Stegostoma tigrinum: one gene and its partner. The protein of the gene in region 1 interacts with the protein of each later gene in a biochemical or structural test. Links are inferred from orthologs where the notes say so. Each region holds a gene or a part of one and is shown in the gene's direction. Other genes may lie near its edges.

Region 1 (10,747 bases):
TTCAAGGTTGAGAGAGACTTGGGGAAAGAGACTTCCAGCATATTATTGTTATCAGTTCACTTCTCTCTCTGCTTTGTTACACAAAATCTATTATCTTGTTCAGACACCGTTCCTTTGTGAATTCAGGTGTCTGGTATCAGTTTCTTCCCCAAACTGGATAATCTGCAGGCAATGTATCAAGCTAATTTGAAAGAACAATACAAAAATTGGGATGGCATCATGTGTTTTGCATTCCCTCTGTCTATGGGTTCAAAACCTGATTTGGGACTCCCTGTTGGAGTTATTCACAATATTGGCCACACTCCCAAGTCTTAACCTATCACTGCTCAATTCTGTAATCCATGGAACAGATTCAGGCATTTTGACATGTTTGAATTTCAGCGAGTAGTCAGTGATAATCTGATGTTTCTCACTTACAGTGTCGGAATTTACATCCTTCACACACTCTCATTTAATAATCAATGTGACTGAGTTTTAAGACTCAGTTCTGTTCTTTGGATCCACTAGTGGGCAATTCTGTGTTTAATTTGACTCTAATAGGTATGGTCCTGATAGCTTTTACCAGTAAATGTTGAGTGTGGGTGCGTTTGTTTGCCTTTTCTATGTTTTGGGAATGGATTTTTTCCCTAAAATATTTCAACCATCTAATAGTCATTCACCTATTAATCTATTCCACAGCAGCTCTTCTTCTAAGTGAGGCTTCACATTCAATTTACCCTGGCCTGTTTGTGAACTCCATTGCCCTCTTGGATTCTTATAGTGTAGATGCTTGTTAAGCAGATTGCAGACTCTGGCCTATCATTTCTTGTCAACGTCCTTTGCTTGTCTTCTTTTATGGCTATTGGCCCAACTTCAGCTCATCTAACTTCTTCAGGATCTGACTTGATCTTTACTGACACTTCTGGATGAACTTCAGCCCTGCTTAAATTGAATGGCCAAATCTGGCTAACCAAGCGTTATGGGTTTTACTGAGCATTTCTGAACTGTCTTAATTTCTGGTCTCTTTGCATTTCCTGCTATAATTAGAGTTACTCACCTTCAATCACTCCCTCCTGAGCTTTTGCTCCTTCTGAACCTTTTATACCCGGGCGTTCTGCTGCTCAGTGATGGCTTTCTCCATCTTCTCAAAGCTGTCCTTTTCTGTTTAAGGGATATGTTTTACTATCAAACAAAATTATACTCCAATAAAATATCTATCGTTGGCCTTAACAAACTTGGGACGTTTCCCACTGTTACCATTCACTGTAACACATTGACTCTATAGGTAAACATTAACATCCTCTATACTTCTCCCTGTGAACATTTACTAGCACACTGGAATTTAACTTGCTTCCACGTGGAACATTTTCCCTATTAGCAAGGTCCCACCCAATGTCTCAGAGAATGTGGTCTTCTCTTTCCAGCCGTTTAAAGGAATAAGTGGTCACTATTCATTTTTAAACAAAAATCTGACCGCTTTCCTCATTCATAGCATAACTGGACATGAATCACTTTGAATGCTAGACACTGCAACTTGGGTTTCTAGGCAATGTCATAACTAAGAATTTTATTTTCTATCCCCAGGCTTCCTGATATAGTAACATTTCTGCCATTTCCCAAATGTCTCCCACCTCAACCTACCCTGTTAACGTTTAGGGTCAATTCTGATTTCTTTGTCTGGTTTCCCTTTTCTCTCCAGCTTGTCTTAGCATTTGCCTTACATTTATCCCTCTCTGGTCTCGGCAGCTTCCACAACCACTTTCCTGAGTTACTAAGACAATGTGTTAACCCCTAGCTGTCAGCCAGAACTGCTGGCTGTCTGGGCCCTGCTCTCCAACGTTTCTCGAAAGAAGTCTGAAATAGAAACGATATGGAGTTTTTGACCAACTCATGGTACCTCACAGAGGTTTTCTTAGATGGCCTGAATTTTAAGTATCCATACTTATTGGGTACAAATGAGCACCTTAAAGCCTGTATATTCTAGTTATATAGGACAGGTAGATTATTTCTTGAGGGTACAAAACGTTTGTCTCAATGCCTCTAGCAAGACTGATATGCACTAAAATAGTCTCCTATGCTGCTTCATAGTAAATGGCATGTTCTACATAAGACAAAGTGAGTGATCTTTGAGCTTTTTCTGTCAGCTGCTCTACAACAGCAATGTTCAACAGTGGATTGGCTACTTTAAATACAGTGCTAACCTTTCAAAAGAGATGTGTCCAGCTCTTACTCATTAAGTTTAGGAATTAAATCAATAAATGTAAATAATTCAGGCATTAAATGCAAGTCTTGCTCCCTTACCAGAGCAGTTTTCTATCTCCCTCCTCAGGTCAAGCTGTCTGAATTGGAAAGTCCTTTCTTTCTTGGAATTCTCTTCTCTTTCCTTCACAACCTCGCGTTTTCATGTAATTCTTTTCAGCTGTTGGAATTCTAATTCTAATCTTAGCTGCTCTAATTAGTTTCTGTCTCTAAATACTTGCCACACATTTTACAATGTGGGTGAAACTTCATGTCTAACTACCCCTTTTAATTCTAAGGACAAAGCTTTTAACTTTTCATATGTTATTCTATCTTGCTCTAATAACAAATGTGGCCATTTTAGCAATTTTTAATCTTAGACTCAGTTTCTTTTACTTAAAAAGTTTTTTGATGGAACAATTTATGTATCCACTCCAATTCTTTTGTTTGTACTTGGGTTCTAATGGTGCAATTTGTTCTCATTTTTGTTGCTAACAAGTGAGGACAGGAAACAAAAACACCTCCCATCTTTTTAAAGCCCTCTCATAGCAAATACTTATTTCTCTTTTAGCAAATAAGTATCACACTTCAAATGAAATCAGTTAGGTTAAAAGGAGGATACAACATTTTCTTGAGCAAAAGAGGAATTTTATTACCTTCCAGTCCCAAAAACACACACACACACACAGCCACACTTTAAAAAGTGGTGGATGTCCGAGAGAGGAAGGTAAATGCAGGCACAGTTTAAAGTTATTAGAGTCCTTGAATTTGAGAATGATGAGTTCTGAATGTTGAGCTGTTGTGTTGTTTATTCAACTTTGCCAAAGTTTGCGTATTTCTTGCATTCTGGGTGAATATTGCTCTTGTAAAGTGTTTTTTTTCCATCAGACATTGACTTTGAGAAAGATGGGAAGAAAAAGACTTCCAGCTTCTTGCGATTGGTTCATTTTTCTTTTTCTATTTGCTACTCCAAAGCTGTTGACTGAAATATAGTTCATTGAAGAGTCAGGTGTCTGGCATAATTATTTTACCAAGCTGGATGATCTGCAGGCCAGATTCCTCCAAACATATAGCTTCCAGAAAGGTGTAAATCAACAAAGAACAGATCGAAGTTTCAGTGTCTTTCATGACCTGGTTAATTTTGGCTCAAATAGATCCTTGTATATTGACAGTTTCATGAGTTTTGCTCAATATGGTCAGGAGATCACACCAGCCTTTTTAAGCTCTGTATTTGTGCTCTTAGAAAAGTTAAATTTATTCCAATAAAGATCCCAGGTATTAAAATCAGATGATGGAAATTAAATATCAATAGACCATGTTCATCATTAACTTAACTGTAATGTCACAACACCACTGAAGGAGCACTGCTATATTGAAGGTGCTTATCGGGTTAGTTGCGAAATCAAGGTCTCATAATGCTATATTTAAGAACAACAGGGATGTACTCCTTGTGCTGTGAATCTCTCCATTGCTTCACATTATTCTGAACAGATGGTAAAAAATATTTTGATTAAATACTTATTCATGCAACATAGCTACACCAAAACTAGACGCCTCAATCTGGCCATTTTACAATAACAAACACTGGATCAGCGCCTTTTACCACATCAAGGCAAGTTCTAGGTTCTGTTAAACACAAAAAGGGCATTTATTTTCTTCAGCCAGTTGGTTACATCATGGTCAAATTTGAGTTTTAAATCCATATTAACAATGAAAACAAATTAAAAAGAATAATGTATCAGAGATAATGGGAACTGCAGATGCTGGAGAATCCAAGATAACAAAGTGTGGAGCTAGATGAACACAGCAGGCCAAGCAGCGTCTCAGGAGCACAAAAGCTGACATTTCAGGCCGTGACCCTTCATCAGAGAGAGATTAAAAAGAATAATATTGACTTTCATAAAAAGTTAAGATCCCAAATTGTCACACAAAGTAAACAAGAAAAAACCTTTGACAATAAATAGGTGAAGAACTGAACACGGAGTCTGCCTAACCATATAAATGGAGTTGTAAAACATGGCAAAGAACAACAGGGATTATCTTCATTAGTCCAGAACCGTTATTTATGTCTAAATTAACATCAATGAAAAGATTATAGTTATTATTACACTGCTGTTTGTTGCACCTTGCTGCATGCAAATTAGCTGGCAGGTTTACTTATAACAGTAAGTATGCTCCAAAAGTATCTCAATGGCTGTACTACCCACTGAGGGCATTTTGAAGTGGTGAAAGGTGTAATAGCACATCAGTAATTTTTTTTCTTGTGACTATCACACAGGGTCATCAACCGTGCCACATTTTCTTGGATTGGTCTTATAATTTGGCTTTTTCCCCCCCAGAGGCCCACTTCAGGCCTGGACAGGAGGTGTTTTGTCTCAGATGCCAGGCACACCTTTCCATTGTGCAAGACATGACATGGTTGGAAGGTTTACAGCTTGTGCTCAGGGCAGTCACATAGAAGTCTAGGAGGGGCATGGACCTAGTCTCAAAATTGGACAAGGTCAGAAATCACACAACATCAGGCTATAGTCCAACAGGTTTATTCAAAAACAAGTTTTCATAGCCTCACTTCTTCTTCAGGTGTCAGCGAGCAAGGTAGTATAAGAAACAGAAATTTCTAAGTAAAAGATCAGAGGGTCACACCACTGATGAGGATGTATTAAACTTAAGATACTGCCAAATCTTTAGCAGTTAGAAGTTTTAATTGATTACTCTGCATATGTAAATTCCCAAATTCCTTTCAAGTCACTGTCCTGACAGAATTAAAGGTTTCATCAGTGTAAAGTGACATTTTAGGTCAGACAATGTGTGTTAGGTAATGAGGGTTTGTTTAGAATCTGTTTATGTTTTGGTTTGGAGCCACACTGGTCTTATTTCTATACACAGATACATTCTATTTTGTTCAAAAAGTTCACAATTTATAGACAGTTAATGTTGCCTTCTATAAATTCCTACTACAACCTGGTGTTGTTTGATTTCTAACCCAACACCAGCACATCCACATCATCAAAATTGGGGCAAACCACACGGCAGCAGATGCCCCCCACCAATCTTTCACATATGCAACATCGCATGAACACCTCCTCATTCACAAGACCACCCCTCACCCCACAGATGCAAACTTCTTACCAGCACCGCTTACAACATAAGCCCCACTTACAAGTGCATCCACTGTGCCACGTCCTCCACACCCCATACTCAAGCTTCTGCCAGCAACTCACACAGCTAAACATCCCTTTAGTTTCTCCCAGCCACATTTATACAATCACACAGCACAGAACAGGCTCTTTGGTCCAACCAGCCCGTGTGGGCCATAATCCAAAACTAAACAACAGTTGGTCAACCAGAAAGCAAGATGGCTATCCTGAAGAGCCAGCACTGTTCCCCAATAGGCTGAATGGCCTCATTATATGCTGCACCCATCTTGGGTGGAGCCTTTACTCAGACCAGAGAAAAACAAGTCACTAGATGTGGCCAAGAGGGGGCTTTTGATGGCTTTGCCCCGCACTATAGTCCCTCCCACGCAGCCTTCACCTTCTCGAAAGTTCTGCGAGTTGAGCCAATGACGTCATCGCAGCAGCACTCCCCCCCCCCCCCATGTGACGCCATGTGGTGGCTTCTCGAATATTCTTCGGCGTTTCCCCTTTAAAACGGCCTTTTTACCGGGGGAGGGGGAACGAGTGTCAAAAATAATTAATTTTCACCTAAACTTACGAAAAACACACACTGTGAGAAAAACACGAAAGAAAATACGCGAGGAAACGCTCCGTAACGGTTTTTTTTTCAAAACGAAACCGGATCAAACCGGTTCCAACCGGTTGGCCGCTCGATCTTTTAGGTGGCAAAATACGCGCCTGCTTTTATGTGCTTTTTAAATACATGCCCTTTATCAAAACCTGCTTCGTTATTAAAAAGGATGTATTGGAACTGAGGAATGATGATTAAAAACGCCGCGTTTGAGAACTATTTCTGCGTCTGTTTTTTTTAGAAAAACAACTGACAGGCCATCGGACTGGGGAAACAGACCGGAAGTGTTTTTTTTTGTTTTCTCCACAACCTCCTCCCCTCCTTGCAGGCATGTAGTCGTCCTGGTCGGGGGCCTGACGGGGTGGACGGGGTCCTGGCGCCGCCATATTGCACTCAGTTCCCTTGTTGTTCTGTGGATGTGAATGAGTCGCGGGAGAGACGGACGGACTGGGAGAGGGAGAGAGGCACACACATCGTTATCGCTTCAGCTCCGTCACCTGAAGCACTTTCCCCTCCCCATCCCCCAACCCTCCCCTCCCCAAATTAACACTGTCGCTGAAGGTAAGAAGTGCTTCGCGACTTTTTTTTTAAAGAGCACCCTTTTCTCCCCGCTCTAATAACGGGGTGTGGTTCCTAAGATGTTAATAAGTAGCCTTTCCCTTCTTTTTCCCCCTTTCCTTTCCTCATTTCTACGACACCTTCCTGCATGCTGTTATGTAGAAGCCACAGACTAGGCACACATTCACTCTTCCTTCTTATTCCAGCTGTTGTAAATCTGATTTTTTTTTCCATACTTGGGTGTGCATCTCTCCCTATTTACTGTTGACTTTGTTTAAGCTCCATATCAAACTTAAATTGGAACATGTTTGCCTTGGGCAAATTTTGAAAATAACTGATTTTATTTAAAAGTCAGTGGCGACTTTTATGAAGAGGAGACAGATTTTTAATTTTTGCTATAGAAGTCCACTAAACGTTTGTTTTAATCTCTGTTGTTTTCCTGAGGACGGATGATCATAATATTGTGGCTTTTTGGGAATGTTTGGTGTGAAGTATGAATTTAAAGTAGATGTTGGTGAAGATTTGAATTGTGTAATAAATTAAAATGATTATTTAATGAAAAAAATTAAGCTTCTTGGGAAAGCCAAGGACAATCTAGTATTGATCTGTTTTGCTGATGCTACTTCAGAAGTTAAAGCAACTTTAAATGTTTTTACATGCAGGTGATTGGTCTTGATTTTATTTCCCTGTGTTGCCTTGCTGTCTCTTGTTCAGATATAATGCTGAAATTGCCCAGTTTGTTGTGTCTGTAAAAGCAACGAGTCCTGTATGTGCAAAGTGTATGTGTGGGAGATGATGTCTGGCAAAGTAGTGTTTTGCAGATTTAATGTTCATTAGTTTAATGTTATAGGAAACGTTTCTATCTTGAATAGAACCGGTTATTTTTCTGGAGTGAGTGGCATAAGGTTAACTTTTTAAATGATCTGTGTAGTATACATTTAGGAAGGAGACTGTTCTATGCAGATATTGTCATCTTATTTGAGTTGATCTTTTAGTAACTTTGAATGCTTTGATTTTGTAGTAGCAGTCCATTTGACCCAACTTAAACATTATCTCAGTGTACTTCATTGCATCCTAATAAATTCAATTTATTTTCACTTATTCAATTATCTTACCCTTAAATGCATCCATGCTAACAGTTTTTGTAATACTGTCAACTTCCTGTGGTGAAACTTTTTTAAGACTTTCAGCAAGAAAGAAACCCAAGTTTTATTATTTGGGTGTGGAGAAGAGGCAAGAGCATTTTTAAAATTGAACCCATTTTTGTTGCCAACCTGTTTTGGAGATGGTATTATGCACTTCTGACACTGGTGAGATCTGAGCCTGATCCCCTCAGCCCAGGTTTAAGGACACTATCACTGCACCACAAGAGGACCTTTGTGAAGATCTTGCCTGTATTAAAATCCCTGGCTGTGCTATCAGATGTCTGAGGAAGGAACATAGCTTCAGTTTCCTTAGGAGTTAAACCTCATTTCAACTAGAGGTATGAACCAGCAGGCCTCAATTGGTCCTTTCCAGTAGAAAGAAAACAGACTCTGTTTCTAAGTGAAACCATACAGGAGCCTGCTGAGAAAACTGAAATCTGTAAAGCCATGGAAACTGCCTGGCTGCAATGAAGATCAGGGTTTGTGGAAATTGATTGTACTGGGTAGCCAGATGAAGATGCTTCTGGGAAAGTCCAGATGTCATGGCTATAATTGCTAAATTGAAAGAAGTATGCAGTTTTGATGGTAATTGAATCTGGCACTTTCTGGTAGACAGCTAGTTATCAGAGAATGCTTGAGAGTCAGATCCTGCATCAAAGAAGGCAGTCAAACTCTATTGCTGGAAGTTGAGACTGACTGCACTTGGTGCCACATGCTAAGAAAGCTGCCTTGGTAAGTGGTGCCAGTTATTAACCTGTAGCTTATGGCTTCTACAGAATAGGACTTGCATATTGGTTTGCCTTTGTGTTGACTTTTTAACATTCAAACTAAAAGACTTAGTGAAACCTTATGCATCAGTTTCTTTTGATGTCGTTTGGGAAGTTTACTTGGATTGCAAATATAAATTTTCTGGATGACGACTGAGCCTGTTCATATGTGTGCATGTGTTTAGACAGTAGTCTGTAGATGAAAATTATTTCTTACCCTTTCTCATCTAGTTTTTGCTAAGTTCAGGACTTAGAGTCAGCTATTGTGGTAAACTTGGTGAATTTTGGAAGGCCAAACTTTCTTACCTTACTTTCTTCCCTGCTCCTGTGGACTCGTCCACCTTTTACAAAACAGTGATGCTTGCACTCTGTCGGACAATGGAGGAAAGGTCATACAGTCTGACCCTAACTATAGTTTGTATGTATGCAATGGATGTGGGTGCCTGGACAAAAGTCATTTGTTCATTCATGATGGAATCTTGCAGTTTGTGGTGACCTGTTGGAGATCCTGTGATTTTTATTTTCTGTCTTGTTAGACAGGGAGTACCAGAATTATGGGCTAGTGGTTAAGATATGTTTTCAAGATGATTGATGTGTTTCTCTGTCTGTGCTAATCATGTCTTTCAGTGTGGCTGTAGCTTTGGAATTTGAAGCAACCATTGGATACTGTGGTTGGTTTTTGCTCTGCATGGGCATTGGAAACTGCACTATGCCATGTAGATGGGATACACTGCTGTCATGCTAAGTTGGGTGGAATGCCAATGGAATCATGTCCACATTGTGGTGTTAGTGCTGCAGCCATTCAAACAAGTGGAGCTAATTACATCACACTCCAGGCATGTGCTTTTTAGACAGTGGCCAGGCTCTGAATTCCAAGCATCTGACCTGCTTTTGCAGCCATTGTATTTATATGGCTGGTCCAATTTGACCTATTGTCAATGAGGATTCCAAGATGTTGACTGTGATACAAGTGCAAAGAGTATGGGAGTGCAGAACTTGAGTACTGGTGCAAAACACATTAAAGCTTTTTGTCTTGCAATCACCAGGACTTGGTGCAAGAATACCATAGCTGCAGCGTAGAAGGAGGCCCTTCGGCCTACCATATCTATGCTAACCAACAGGAAAACCCTTATCTTGGTGATTCTTGCAATCTGTCCTGATGAGTAAGGTGAAAAGCTTTGACAAAATGCGTATTTCTTTTCAGCAATATTTATGATGCTAGTAGTGTTGAATTTTGGGAGTGAACTGCATCTTTGGAGAAGGTTGTCACCAGGCACATGTGTAACACAGATATCAGTCTTGGCACTCACTAACCTAAGCCTGAGTATTTGCTACAGTCATACTGCAAGTGGACTACATCTGAAGAGTTGTGAATGGAACTGAACAGTAAAGAGTCATCAGTCAACATCCCCTGATTTGACCTTTTATGATGGAGAGGCAATTGAAGCAGTTGAAGATAGTTGGATCTCTACATTGACCTGACAACCTTCCTCCAGCAGTGTTTTGCACTGAGAAGGTCAACTTCCACCATTCAGTGACCTCGCTTTGAATGAGGCGAAGAGATTTTCCATAAACTCTAATGGACTCTGTCTTACTCCAGTTTCTTGAGGTCATATTTAATCAAGCTGCTTTGCAGTTACTGTTGCTTCCCTTCTGGAATTTAGCTGTTTCATCTGTGCTTGGACAAAGTTTCCAGTTAGATTTGGAGCCAAGCAGTCTTGACAGAATCCAAATATTCAGATTATTGAGGAAGTACAAATTAACATTATTCCTTCTACCTCTTCTTTTGCTGACTTATTGGCTGATGCTGATTTGAGTTTGGGTTTTCCCAAGTTTTTATGGCCAGGGTTGATATCTGAACAGTTTTCTACTTTTTTTTTCCCCTTTTGTCTGAAATTGCACTGAAGCAGCTTTGCTGGAGGCACAGCTATATTTGTAACACTTGGAGTGCTTTGCCCATGGTGCCCTAACTCCTTTTCCATTAGCTTTTTTTAAAATTCCAAGCAGACAACTGGAGCTCACTGCTTTCTGGTCTGTATAACTCATGCTCAGCAAAAGTGAGATGCTCCTTTTTAAAGTTGGCCATTTGAGTGAGAGAGATATCCTTCAGCCTTATTAAAGGCATGCATGTATCTCCCTTTAGGAAGGGGCATGTGATTTCAAGCTAACGACTGGACTGAGTTGCTGTGAAATAATCAGGCAGGCTTGTTATTTGTAATGTTTCTTACATTGACCTATATGTGGTATCCTCAATGGAGTCTGGCTTATAATTGTGAGAGAGGTGGTGTTCTCTTGTTGCTGTGATCCGGAATA
Region 2 (10,526 bases), on another chromosome or scaffold:
ATAAATGCTGGTCCAGACATTGATGTCCATATCCCATGAATGAACAAAAACAAAATCATAACTATGTAGTTGCAGGGGGACCAAGAGTAGGGACCAAATATTCAATGATTCCCAACATTTAAGAAGGAAACAGAAATAGATTAGCACTATTAATAAAGGATGTGACCAATGAGAGAGGCTCTTGGATTGGGAAATCCAAGTGTGGAATCTGAGATAGTAAGAACTTCAGATGCTGGAGAATCTGAGATAACGTGTAGAGCTGGATGAACACAGCAGGCCGAGCAGGAAAGCTGACGTTTTGGGTCTAGGCCCGAGATGTTAGCTTTCCTGCTCCTCTGATGCCACTTGGCCTGGTGTTCATCCAGCTCTACACCTTGTCATCTCTTATTGTCAAAGTGTGGAATCTGTTTGGCTGGAGCTAAAAGCTAACAGGGCAGTGAGTATCCACGACCTCACTCCATAGGATGCAACCTGACACCACCTCAGCACCACTGTCTGAAATGAGGTTGAAAAGGCTCTGAGGCAGCAATGTTTGAATACTAACCTCTTTGTAGCATACGTGGAACAATCCCCAACCTTAAGTTCACCTGGACCATCTCTGATACCTCTCTCTCCCTCCTGGACCCCTCTGTTTCTATCTCTGGCAACCACCTGGAAACCGCTATCCATTTCAAGCCTACTGACTCCCATAGCTGCCTAGAATACACCTCCTCCCACCCACCTTCCCGCAAAAATGCCATCGCCTATTCCCAATTCCTTTGCCTCTGCATCTGCCCAGATGTCCTCGTCCTCGTTTTTCAAGGACAGCAACTCACCCCTGCCCCCCCACCCCCAACCACAGTGGTCGAAAATGCCCTTGACCACGTCTCCCACATTTCCTGCAACACATCCCTCACGCCCTCTCTCTGCAATAACAACCAAAACAGAATCCACCTTGTCCTCGCATACTGTCCCACCAACCTCCACTTCCAGCGCATCATCCTCCAGCACTTCTGCCATCTGCAATCTGACCCCACTACCAAAGACATTTTTCCCTCCCCACCCTTATCTGCTTTCCGGAGGGACCACACTCTCCATGACTCCCTTGTCTGCTCCACACTCCCCACCACCCCTGGGACTTTTCCCACAACTGCAGGAAGTGCTACACCTCCCTCACTCCCATCCCAGGCCCCAAGAAGACCTTCCTCATCAAACAGAGATGTTCAATTGCACATCAGCTAACCTAGTATACTGCATCTGCTGTTCCTGATGTGGCTGCCTGTACATCGGGGAAACCAAGCGGGGGCTTGGGGACCGCTTTGTGGAACACCTATGCTCTGTTCGCAACAAACAACTGCACCTCCCAGTCATGAACCATTTCAACTCCCCTCTTCCCTCTTCTTCCCACCCCCCCCCTCCCCCTCCCCCCCCCCCAACTCCTCAGACAATATGTCCATCCTGACCCTCCTGCATTGCCACAACGATGCTACTCGAAGGTTGTGGAACAGCACCTCATATTTCACTTGGGAACCCTGCAGTCCAACTGTATCAACGTGGACTTCATAAGCTTCAAAATCTCCCATCTTCTGACAACATCCCAAAACCAGCCCAGCTTGACCCTGCCTCACTAACCTGTCCTTCCTTCCAACTATTCCCTCCTCTCACCTCCAAGCCCCACCTCCTTCTCCCTACCAGCCTCATCCTGTCCCTTTGACCTGTCCGTCCTTCCTGGACTGACCTATCCCCTGGCCCCTAACTCCACACCTACACTCACCTTTATTGGCTCCACCCCCGCCTTTTTGACCTGTCTGTTTCTTCTCCACCTATCTTTTCCTTTATCCATCTTCTATTCGCCACCCCCTCTCTCCCTATTTATTTCAGGATCCCCTTCCCTTTCCCCATTTCTGAAGATGGCTGTAGGCCTGAAATGTCTGCCTTCCTGCACCTCTGCTGCTTGGCCTGCTGTGTTCATTCAGCTCTACACGTTGTTATCTCGGATTCTCCAGCATCTGCAGTTCCTACTATCTCTTGAGTACTCACTGCTGTGAGGCCCCTTAAATTCTCATCTTTTCTTCATTAGTTGGCACAGCCTGATGGTCGTATCTTTGAGCCCTGATTTTTAAGCATGCCACAGTGCACTCGATCTTGCATCACAAGCCCCACCTGCAACTTTCAATTTGGACATGTGGCATCTGGGGCATTAAAATAGACTTGTACCAGGAAGAAGTTTGGAAAGCACTTGTCTACAGAGCAGCAGTGTTATCAGCCCTTCTGCATGTGTTGGAGACATGTTCAATGTGCAGGAGACTCCCTCAAGTGCCTAAGAGAAATCACTAGCAATGCCTGTACAAATTCTTGCAAATTCATGGCAGGGTAGGTGATTCAGTATCAGTGTTCTCACAAGGGCCAGCATCCCTGGCAATGGAGATACTGTTTCTGGTCACTATGGTGCTTTGGATGAACCATGGTTTCCATGTGCCTGATAAGACTCCAAATCAGCTCCCCACTATGGGTTTCATTGACAAGAAGAAAGAGGAAATGTTTCAGTGCTGATCTCAAAATTTCATGAAGCAATACATTATCCCACCTAATTGTGGAAATAGCTTGCCCAAGATCATCTGAAATGGGGAAGGAACAATCCATTTTCAGCTTCTCCGAACGGTCCAAATAGAAACCAACGTACACAGCAGAATGTGAAATCCTTGAGTAGCCAAACCACCTGCTTCAGCAAACAGCACCCGTCCCATCTGTGACAGAATATGTGGTCCTAGTATAGAACTATTTAGTTACCATGTGACTCAAAATTGGAATGAAAGAACGTCAACCTTGGTTGCATGAGACTTTCTAAAAACAAGAGCCCACCAAGTGGTAGTGGTAATGTAGGGTGTGGTATAAATCAGGAAATTAGGAGTGCATTCAGACATAGTAATCATGGCAAACAACAATTTGCGTGTAGACTGGATTAACCTCATTAATTCCAATGCTGTGGAAAATAATCCCTGGAATATACATGTGATGGTACAGTTTGCTGAATAACCAACTAGAGAATGGGCTAGATCTTTGCAACTAGAAAGGGCTTATGCATTTATTACAAAGGGACCTTTAGGGAATAGTGACCATACTGTGATAGAACTTTGTTGTTTGAAAGTGATGTAGTTCAGTCGAACTTGGAGTATTTTTATCTTTTGTAGTGTTCCTTATTTAGATTTGAGCAGCAATTTGCACTGGAAAGTTAAATGATATGGCTGTAGACAGGTGTTTAAAGAATTAATACATTGCTTACAACAAATGTGCATTCTTTTGAGGCTCAAAACTCCCAATAGGAAAAGTGATTCAATTGAGGTTGACAAAATAATTCAAAGATTATATTAGATCAAAGGAAGAGGCTTTGTAAAGTTACTGAAAAAATAATAATAAGCTTGAGGATTAGGAGAACTTTAAAATTCAATTGACGACCAATAAGCTAATGAAGAAAAGAAAAGTGAAATATAGAAGTAAACTGGTGTGAAACCAAAAAGGTCACTGTCTTTTTATCATGTAAAAAGTAAAAGATCATCAAAGATAAATGTCCCATGACACGGAAGCAGGATAGTCTGTCTATCTGGGAAGTAAATGGGCAGAGAAACTAAACAAATACTTGATCTGCCTTTGCAGAGAAAATGCAGACAAAAGTTCCCAAAAATAAGAGAACTGAAGGACTAGTGAGCATGAGGGACTGAAAGTAATAGATGTTGGTAAGAAAAACAAAGTAGCAGAGATCTTAATGAGATCAAAAAGATGATCAACGGTGATTTTTTTTTCAAATATAAAAAAAACTTGTGAATGTTGCTGGGTAGACCTTAACTAAAATATAAATTATATCCCAGAATTGAGAGAGGTGACTGTAGATATAGTGGTTGCATTATGTGGTGGTCATTGTTACTTCATAGATTCTGGAAAGATTCCTGCTGATTGGAAGGTAGACCCTGCTATTTAAGAAAGGAAGGAGATAGGAAACAGAATTGTTTCCTTACACTGGTGAGTGACATCACTGGGGAAAATGCTAAAATCTGTTACAAAGAACAGTAACTGGGCGTTTCAAAATAATGGAAGGATTGGGCAGAGTCATTATGTTTTCCTTGCATAAAAATGTTTGATAAAGCTATTGGAGCTTTGTGGATATTAGCAGAATAGATAGAGGAGAACAAGTGGATGTGGTGCATTTCAATTTTCAGAAGGCCTTTAATAAGGATCTGTACAAAAGGTTAGCGCAATTTGTGTGCGTAGAATTGGGGATAATTTACTGGTATAGATTGAGATTTGGTTAGTGAAGAATCTTAGCAGGATCTTTGACAGGCTGTGAATGGTGGGGTGTGGCAAGGATCACTGCGTGGACTCCAGCTATTGACTGATTCCTGGGATGGCAGGATATGAGAAGAGATTGAGGCAAGCCTGCCTGTATTCTCTAGAATTCAGGAAAATAAGTGATCTGATTGAAGCATACAAAATTCTTACAGACCTTGACAGATGCGATCAGACTAGATTTTTCCGCTGCCTTGAGTCTAAAACTGGGGACACAGTCTCAAAATAAGGGATATGAGATGTGTTTATTAATTTTAGTTTTTTTGAATCAACAACTGATACTTCTCCTATTATTACATGCATCCTGTCTATAATTATGAGACCTTTTCCCCCCACAGTTGTTGAAATAATTTGCACAACTATTCTGTTTTGCAGGAGAGAATACTTGTTGATATTAACTGTTGTATCATTTATATAGTGAACTGACTGGATGGTAGGTCATAATTGGCTTTCTTTATGGATTTATTAAAACCAGAAGTACAGAGTAAAATTTCATTTATTTAAAACCAGACACTGGGGTTCCAATTGCACTTCTTATTTTGAGAATTATATTTGTGACTGGAAATTAGAGAAGTACGTTATCCATTAGTTGAGCAATTAGATTGGCTGAAATGGTGTATATTTTTGCGTGTGGTGAGCCTTCATTCTGCAGGTGTATGTAATACTTTGTATGTAATATCCCCACGCTCTCAGCTTGTTGCCAGGAACTACCATTCTAACTCAATGCAAACTGAAGCATGGATAGTAAAAATTTAAATTGAATTTATTTCAGAAGCTGATGGAGTTTTTTATGGTTTCGGGATTAATAAACCATGAGGCATAGATACGTGTTAATTGGCTTCTGATGTAAAGTGTGAGATTATGTATATTTTAATATTCATTTTAGAGTTTGGATTTCAGCTAGTGATGTAGATTTTGATCTGTTTACCTACAAGTGTTTATGACTAATATTAAAGTATTTCTGTACCCATAGTGATTTATTTTAAAGCAGTTTTCAAACTTTCTGGATAGTATAGGATTTTGTTTACATTGGGAGAGTTTGAGTCAACAAAGTAGATCGTCTGTTAGGCTGTCGGAGGATTCTGGAATTCCTTTGGGCTTGGAAAAAACATTTTTGATCTCACTTTGGGACAGTTTGCAGAAGTCATGGCAGATGCTGGATGTACAAAACAGATACTCCTGAGAATGGGAAGTTGCAGACTGTTCAGATAGAGAGTGAGGTAATGACGAAGAGCATCTCAACCACTGCACATAGCCAGTGGCTGTAGAACCGTTTTCTATCAAGACCCCTTGTAGGTGTCTTCAGGAGTGCATGACATGAGCATTAATTTGAAATGGAATTGAGATTTTATTCTCAGTTACCTTGTCCATGCATTGTTGTATTTCTGTAGATGGTCTAATCTTGCCTAATGTCTTTAATGGTATGGTTTTTACACAGTTAATTTCCACAAAACTGCAGTAATTTTGTGCTAACTCATTATCTGGTGTATGCTACGCTCAATAGTGTTACACAGTGAAATAACCACCTTTTCTGTACAGGAAAAGAAACATTGATGGGAAATCACTTTCCTGTAGCAGAGAATTATTACCTGGTAAGAGAAGAGCAACACTTTGTTTTTTCGGAGTGGAACCCTGCAGAAAGTTGCAAGTGAAAATGGCAATGCTTGTGTGTCTGCTATACTGTATTAGCTCAACACTATAAAATTTATGCAATTCTTCTTTGAGGCCTTTTCTTGCTCAATCGGATGATCATAACCACCAAGCTAAAAAGGAATCTTCTGATTAAGACCTTCTAATTCACAGAGGACGTTTTAGTCTGATTCATATCCATCACCCCGCACTGAAATCTCAGCTCATGTGTTGGCAGGTGCGACAAATTCTGCCACTACAGGTGAGATGATCCATGATATTCTGAAATCAACTGTATGCTAAACAAAACCACCTAATAATTTCTTTATTTTCAACCCCAATTAATTCTATCTCCAGTTTTCAAAATGAATTTCAGGAATCAAATTCACATCTTTGCTGAACCTTCCCTGTCTGTACACTATCTGTGTACTGCACTTTGTTGAAATTTGCTGATTTGTTTTTGAGATGTAATGTTTACAGTCAAACAGAAATGAATATGGTCTGTGATGAAGCGGAAAAAGATAGAGTACGTTCCATGAGCTTAAACTTAGATTTTGTAAGTTGCATTTCTCATACAAAACGTGACCTGCAATAATAACATTTTGGCGTTGTGTTGTTGAAATTGAATTTGTAGGAATTGCAGATGCTGTGGGCACCAGTTTTATAGATGTTACAACTGAGATATTCCGTAATATGGGCAGAGGCTTAACCGCTGCATTGGTTAGTGGAAATTTACTAATTAAAAATGGTAATCATATGCCTGTTACTCACTGCTCCAAATTCTGTCCTTGGATACAAATGATGCTTCTTTTCAATTCTCTCTTCTGTTTTGCTTATATTAATGATGCATAAATATTTATAAAATATTTTGTAAGTGTTGAAATATTCCAAAACACAACAGGTGAGATATTACTAATTTGATTGGGAGGTTTTTAATTGTATAGATGCTATGAGATTGATTTTGAGGTAGCAAATTAATTCAAATGTTTAATTTTCAGGCCTTGAAGTTGATATTTTGGTTAAGCTATGAAAACCATTTGGACTCAATGTCAGGTTTTATTGAGATGCAGTAACCTTCCGAGGATCTGAGACACAAACACATTACAGTAGCAACATAATGAGTGGCTTGGTGTTATGGGCGTTGCAAGAAATTCTCATGGTACCTCAGTAAGCTATATGGTTGATCTGTGTAACCTTTGTAGAACTGTTGAGCAGTGCCTACACAGTGTTTCATTAACTGTCAGATTTTAGATAATTTTGACTGCTTAATTGAAAAAGATAGTTGACTAATTTCATGTTTTTTTAAGTGTGGATGGTGAGTGGCATGTTTTTGTGACCCATTATGTAAAATAAAACTCTCTGATGTACTCATTTGGTGTTATTCTGTAGAAAGCCCAGCAGCCGTTACTTTTGTTGTAGAATGCGAATTAGGCAAAGAAATGGTGGTATAGTGAAATTACATCCAATGTAGATAATTGAGGGTTGAGCTTAGAGTTTTATAAAATCATGAGGGCCTAAATAAGGTGAGTAGCAAAGGTCTTTTCCTCCGACTAGAGAAGTTCAAAACTGGAGGGCATTTTTTACGGTGAGAAGAAAGATTTAAAAGGGACCCGAGGGCAACTTTTTCATATGTGGAATAATCTGCCAGAGGAACTGGTCGATGCAAGTGCACTTACAACATTTAAAAGACATTTGGGCAGGTACATAAATAGGAAAGATTTGGGGAAAAGAGTGCAATGCAAGCAAATAGGACGAGTTCTGTGTTTGGGAAACTTGGCATGAACGAGTTGGACCAAAGGTTCTGTTTTCTGTGCTGTATGGTTCTATGACTGACCCAATCAATTGCATATGATTGGACTAATATCCTTAGAATTGATTTTTTAAAAAATCTTATAGATGTCAAATTGTGTGTGGTGTATATAACTCCTTTAATCTGGTTGCAAGGCTATTACCGTTGTTGATTATAATTGAACTCCCATGATATTGTGTATGTGGTTAATTTTGATAGTGACTGAGATTGTGCATGGTGCTATTTAGTGATTCCAGAAGTGATTGTGGTGTGTGTAGTCTCTGCTGTGTTGATGCTTGGTGAGATTCACTTCTGTCACTGGCGCTTTGATAGTTACTTCATGTGAGATCCTGCATGCTCTAGTAATGTACTTGTACTGGAGTCTACTTTATTAGCCGAAAACTTTTTATTTACATTTGTACCTTCCACAGTTCAACATGTTGAATAATACTTGGAGGAAGCACTGAGCATGGCAAGGGTGCAAAATGTACTCTGGATGGGGGAATCCGTGTCTGCCACTAAGAGTGTTTCGACAGCAGTGTTACTGATCAAGTTGGTCGGGTGACGTAGCTACTAAACTGGTATCCAGCAGTTGTTGATGGGAGAAACATATTTGATGTCATCCTTCACAATCTGTTGATTGCCAACATATCTATCATTGATAGTATCTTTAGGAGTGAACACCACACAATCACTGTGGTAAATGGGACAGACTTCAAACAGATCGAGCAGTTCAAGACTAGGCATCCATGAGGTGCTGTGAACCATCAACAGCAGAATTGTACTCCACAATCTACAACCTCATGGCCTGGCATATTCCGCTCTTGACCATTACCATCAAGCCAGGGGATCAACCCTGGTTCAATGGAGAGTGCAGGAGGGCATGCCAGGAACAGAACAGGTATACCTAAAGACAAGGTCAACCTGGTGGAGCAAGTAAACAGGACTAATTGCAAGCCAAACAGCATACCAGTGATAGACAGAGCTCATTGATCCCATAACCAATGGGTCAGATCTAAGCACTGCAGTCCTGCCACATCTACTCATGAATAGTGGTGGACAATTAAACAACTCACTGAAGGAGGCTCCACAAATAGCCCCATCCTCAATGATAGAAGAACCCAACATGTCAGTACAAAATAAGGCTGAAGCATTCATAGCAAAAGTGGATGATCTATCTCTACCTCTTCTAGTGGTCCCCAGCATCACAGATACCTGTCTCCAGCCAATTCAGTTCACTTCACATGATAACTGGAAATATTTGGAGGCACTGGATTTTGCAAAGGCTATGGACCCTAACAACATTCTGGCAATAGTACTGCAGACTTGAGGTCCAGAACCTGCTGCTCCCCAAGCCAAGCTCTTCCAGTACAGTTACAACACTAGCATCAACCCGACAATGTGGCAAATTACCCAGGTATGTCCTACATACAAAAAAGCGGACAAATCGAACCTGGCCAATTACTGCCCCATGAATCTACTTTCAATCATCAGAAAAATGCTATAAAGCAGCACCTACTAAACATAAGCCTGCACACTAACACCGAGTATGGATCATTCCAGGGCGACTCAGTTCTTTATCTCATTGTAGCCTTGGTTTAAACATGGAAGAAAAGAACTGAATTCCAGAGGTGAGAGTGACTGACAGACCTTGTCATCAAGTCTGCATTTGACCATGTGCGCATCGAGGACCCTAGCAAAACTCACTACTGGTTAAAATCATATCTGGCACAAATAAAGATGGGCATGGTTGTTGGATGTCTGTTATCTCAGCTCCAGGACATCTCTGCAGGAGTTCCTCAGGATCGTGCCTTAGGCTGAGCCATTTTCAACAGCTTCATCGTGACTTCCCTCCCTCTTAAGGTCAGAAATTAGGGTGTTTGCTGATAATTGCAAGATATTCAGCACCATTCCTGACTCCTCAGATCCTGAAGCAGTCCATGTTCAAATACAAGATGATTTGGGTGGACAAGTGGCAAGCAACACTCTCGCCACACAAATGCCAGGCAATGACATTCTACAGTAAGAGCAAATCTAACCACCACCACTGACATTCAGTGGTCTTACCATCACTGAGTCCCTCACTATCAACATCCTTGGGGTTACCATTGAGCAAAAATTTAAGTTGGACTTGCCACATAAACACAGGCCAGGAACACTGGCGGGTAACCCGCCTCCTGGCTCCCCTGTACACAGTCTACTAAGCATAGTCTAGGAGTGTGATGGAATACTAAATAAAAACTGAAACCACTGTGGATGCTGTAAATCGGGAACAGAAACAGAAATTGTTGGAAAAGCTCAGCAGATCTGGCAGCATCTTTGAAGAGAAAATCCAGAGTTAATATTTCGGGTCCAGTGCCCCTTCTCTGAACTCATGATGGAATACTCCCCATTTGCTTTGATGAGTACATCTTCAATAACACTGAAGAAACTTGATGCCATTCAGGATAAAGCAGCCAGTTTGATTGGCTTCACATCCTCAAGCATTCACTCCCTCCACCACCAGCACTGGGTAGCAACAGCGTGTACTATCCACCAGATGCATTGCAGAAATTCAGCAAAGATCCTTAGAAATTACCTTTCAAATGCACGATCACTTTCAGTTATAAGGAACAGGGCAGCAGATACATGGGAAAACCACTACCTGTAAGTTCCCCTCCAGTCCATAATTGTATAAATGACAAATTTCTGTTTTTGTTTACTGATCTTAAAGAGGAAAGCAGTAAAGGGGTTGGGGGCATTATGTTTGTGGGCAGCGTGATATCATGAATATGACAATTGGTCTCCA

Evidence for each region.
Region 2: the proteins of SUMO-conjugating enzyme UBC9 (region 1) and pias1b form a complex in vitro, tested with the Homo sapiens proteins (12 studies listed by BioGRID, with this or other methods). The link is inferred for Stegostoma tigrinum from reciprocal best matches to the Homo sapiens genes UBE2I and PIAS1.

Annotation. Positions count from the first base shown.
Region 1 is NC_081391.1:9,383,056-9,393,802, forward strand, and holds the start of SUMO-conjugating enzyme UBC9, read left to right. Parts: upstream 1-6,326; 5' UTR 6,327-6,525; intron 6,526-10,747. UniProt on the Homo sapiens protein: Accepts the ubiquitin-like proteins SUMO1, SUMO2, SUMO3, SUMO4 and SUMO1P1/SUMO5 from the UBLE1A-UBLE1B E1 complex and catalyzes their covalent attachment to other proteins with the help of an E3 ligase such as RANBP2, CBX4 and ZNF451.
Region 2 is NC_081386.1:29,952,906-29,963,431, reverse strand, and holds the start of pias1b (E3 SUMO-protein ligase PIAS1), read left to right. Parts: upstream 1-5,863; 5' UTR 5,864-5,873; coding exon 5,874-5,912; intron 5,913-10,526. UniProt on the Homo sapiens protein: Functions as an E3-type small ubiquitin-like modifier (SUMO) ligase, stabilizing the interaction between UBE2I and the substrate, and as a SUMO-tethering factor. Catalyzes sumoylation of various proteins, such as CEBPB, MRE11, MTA1, PTK2 and PML.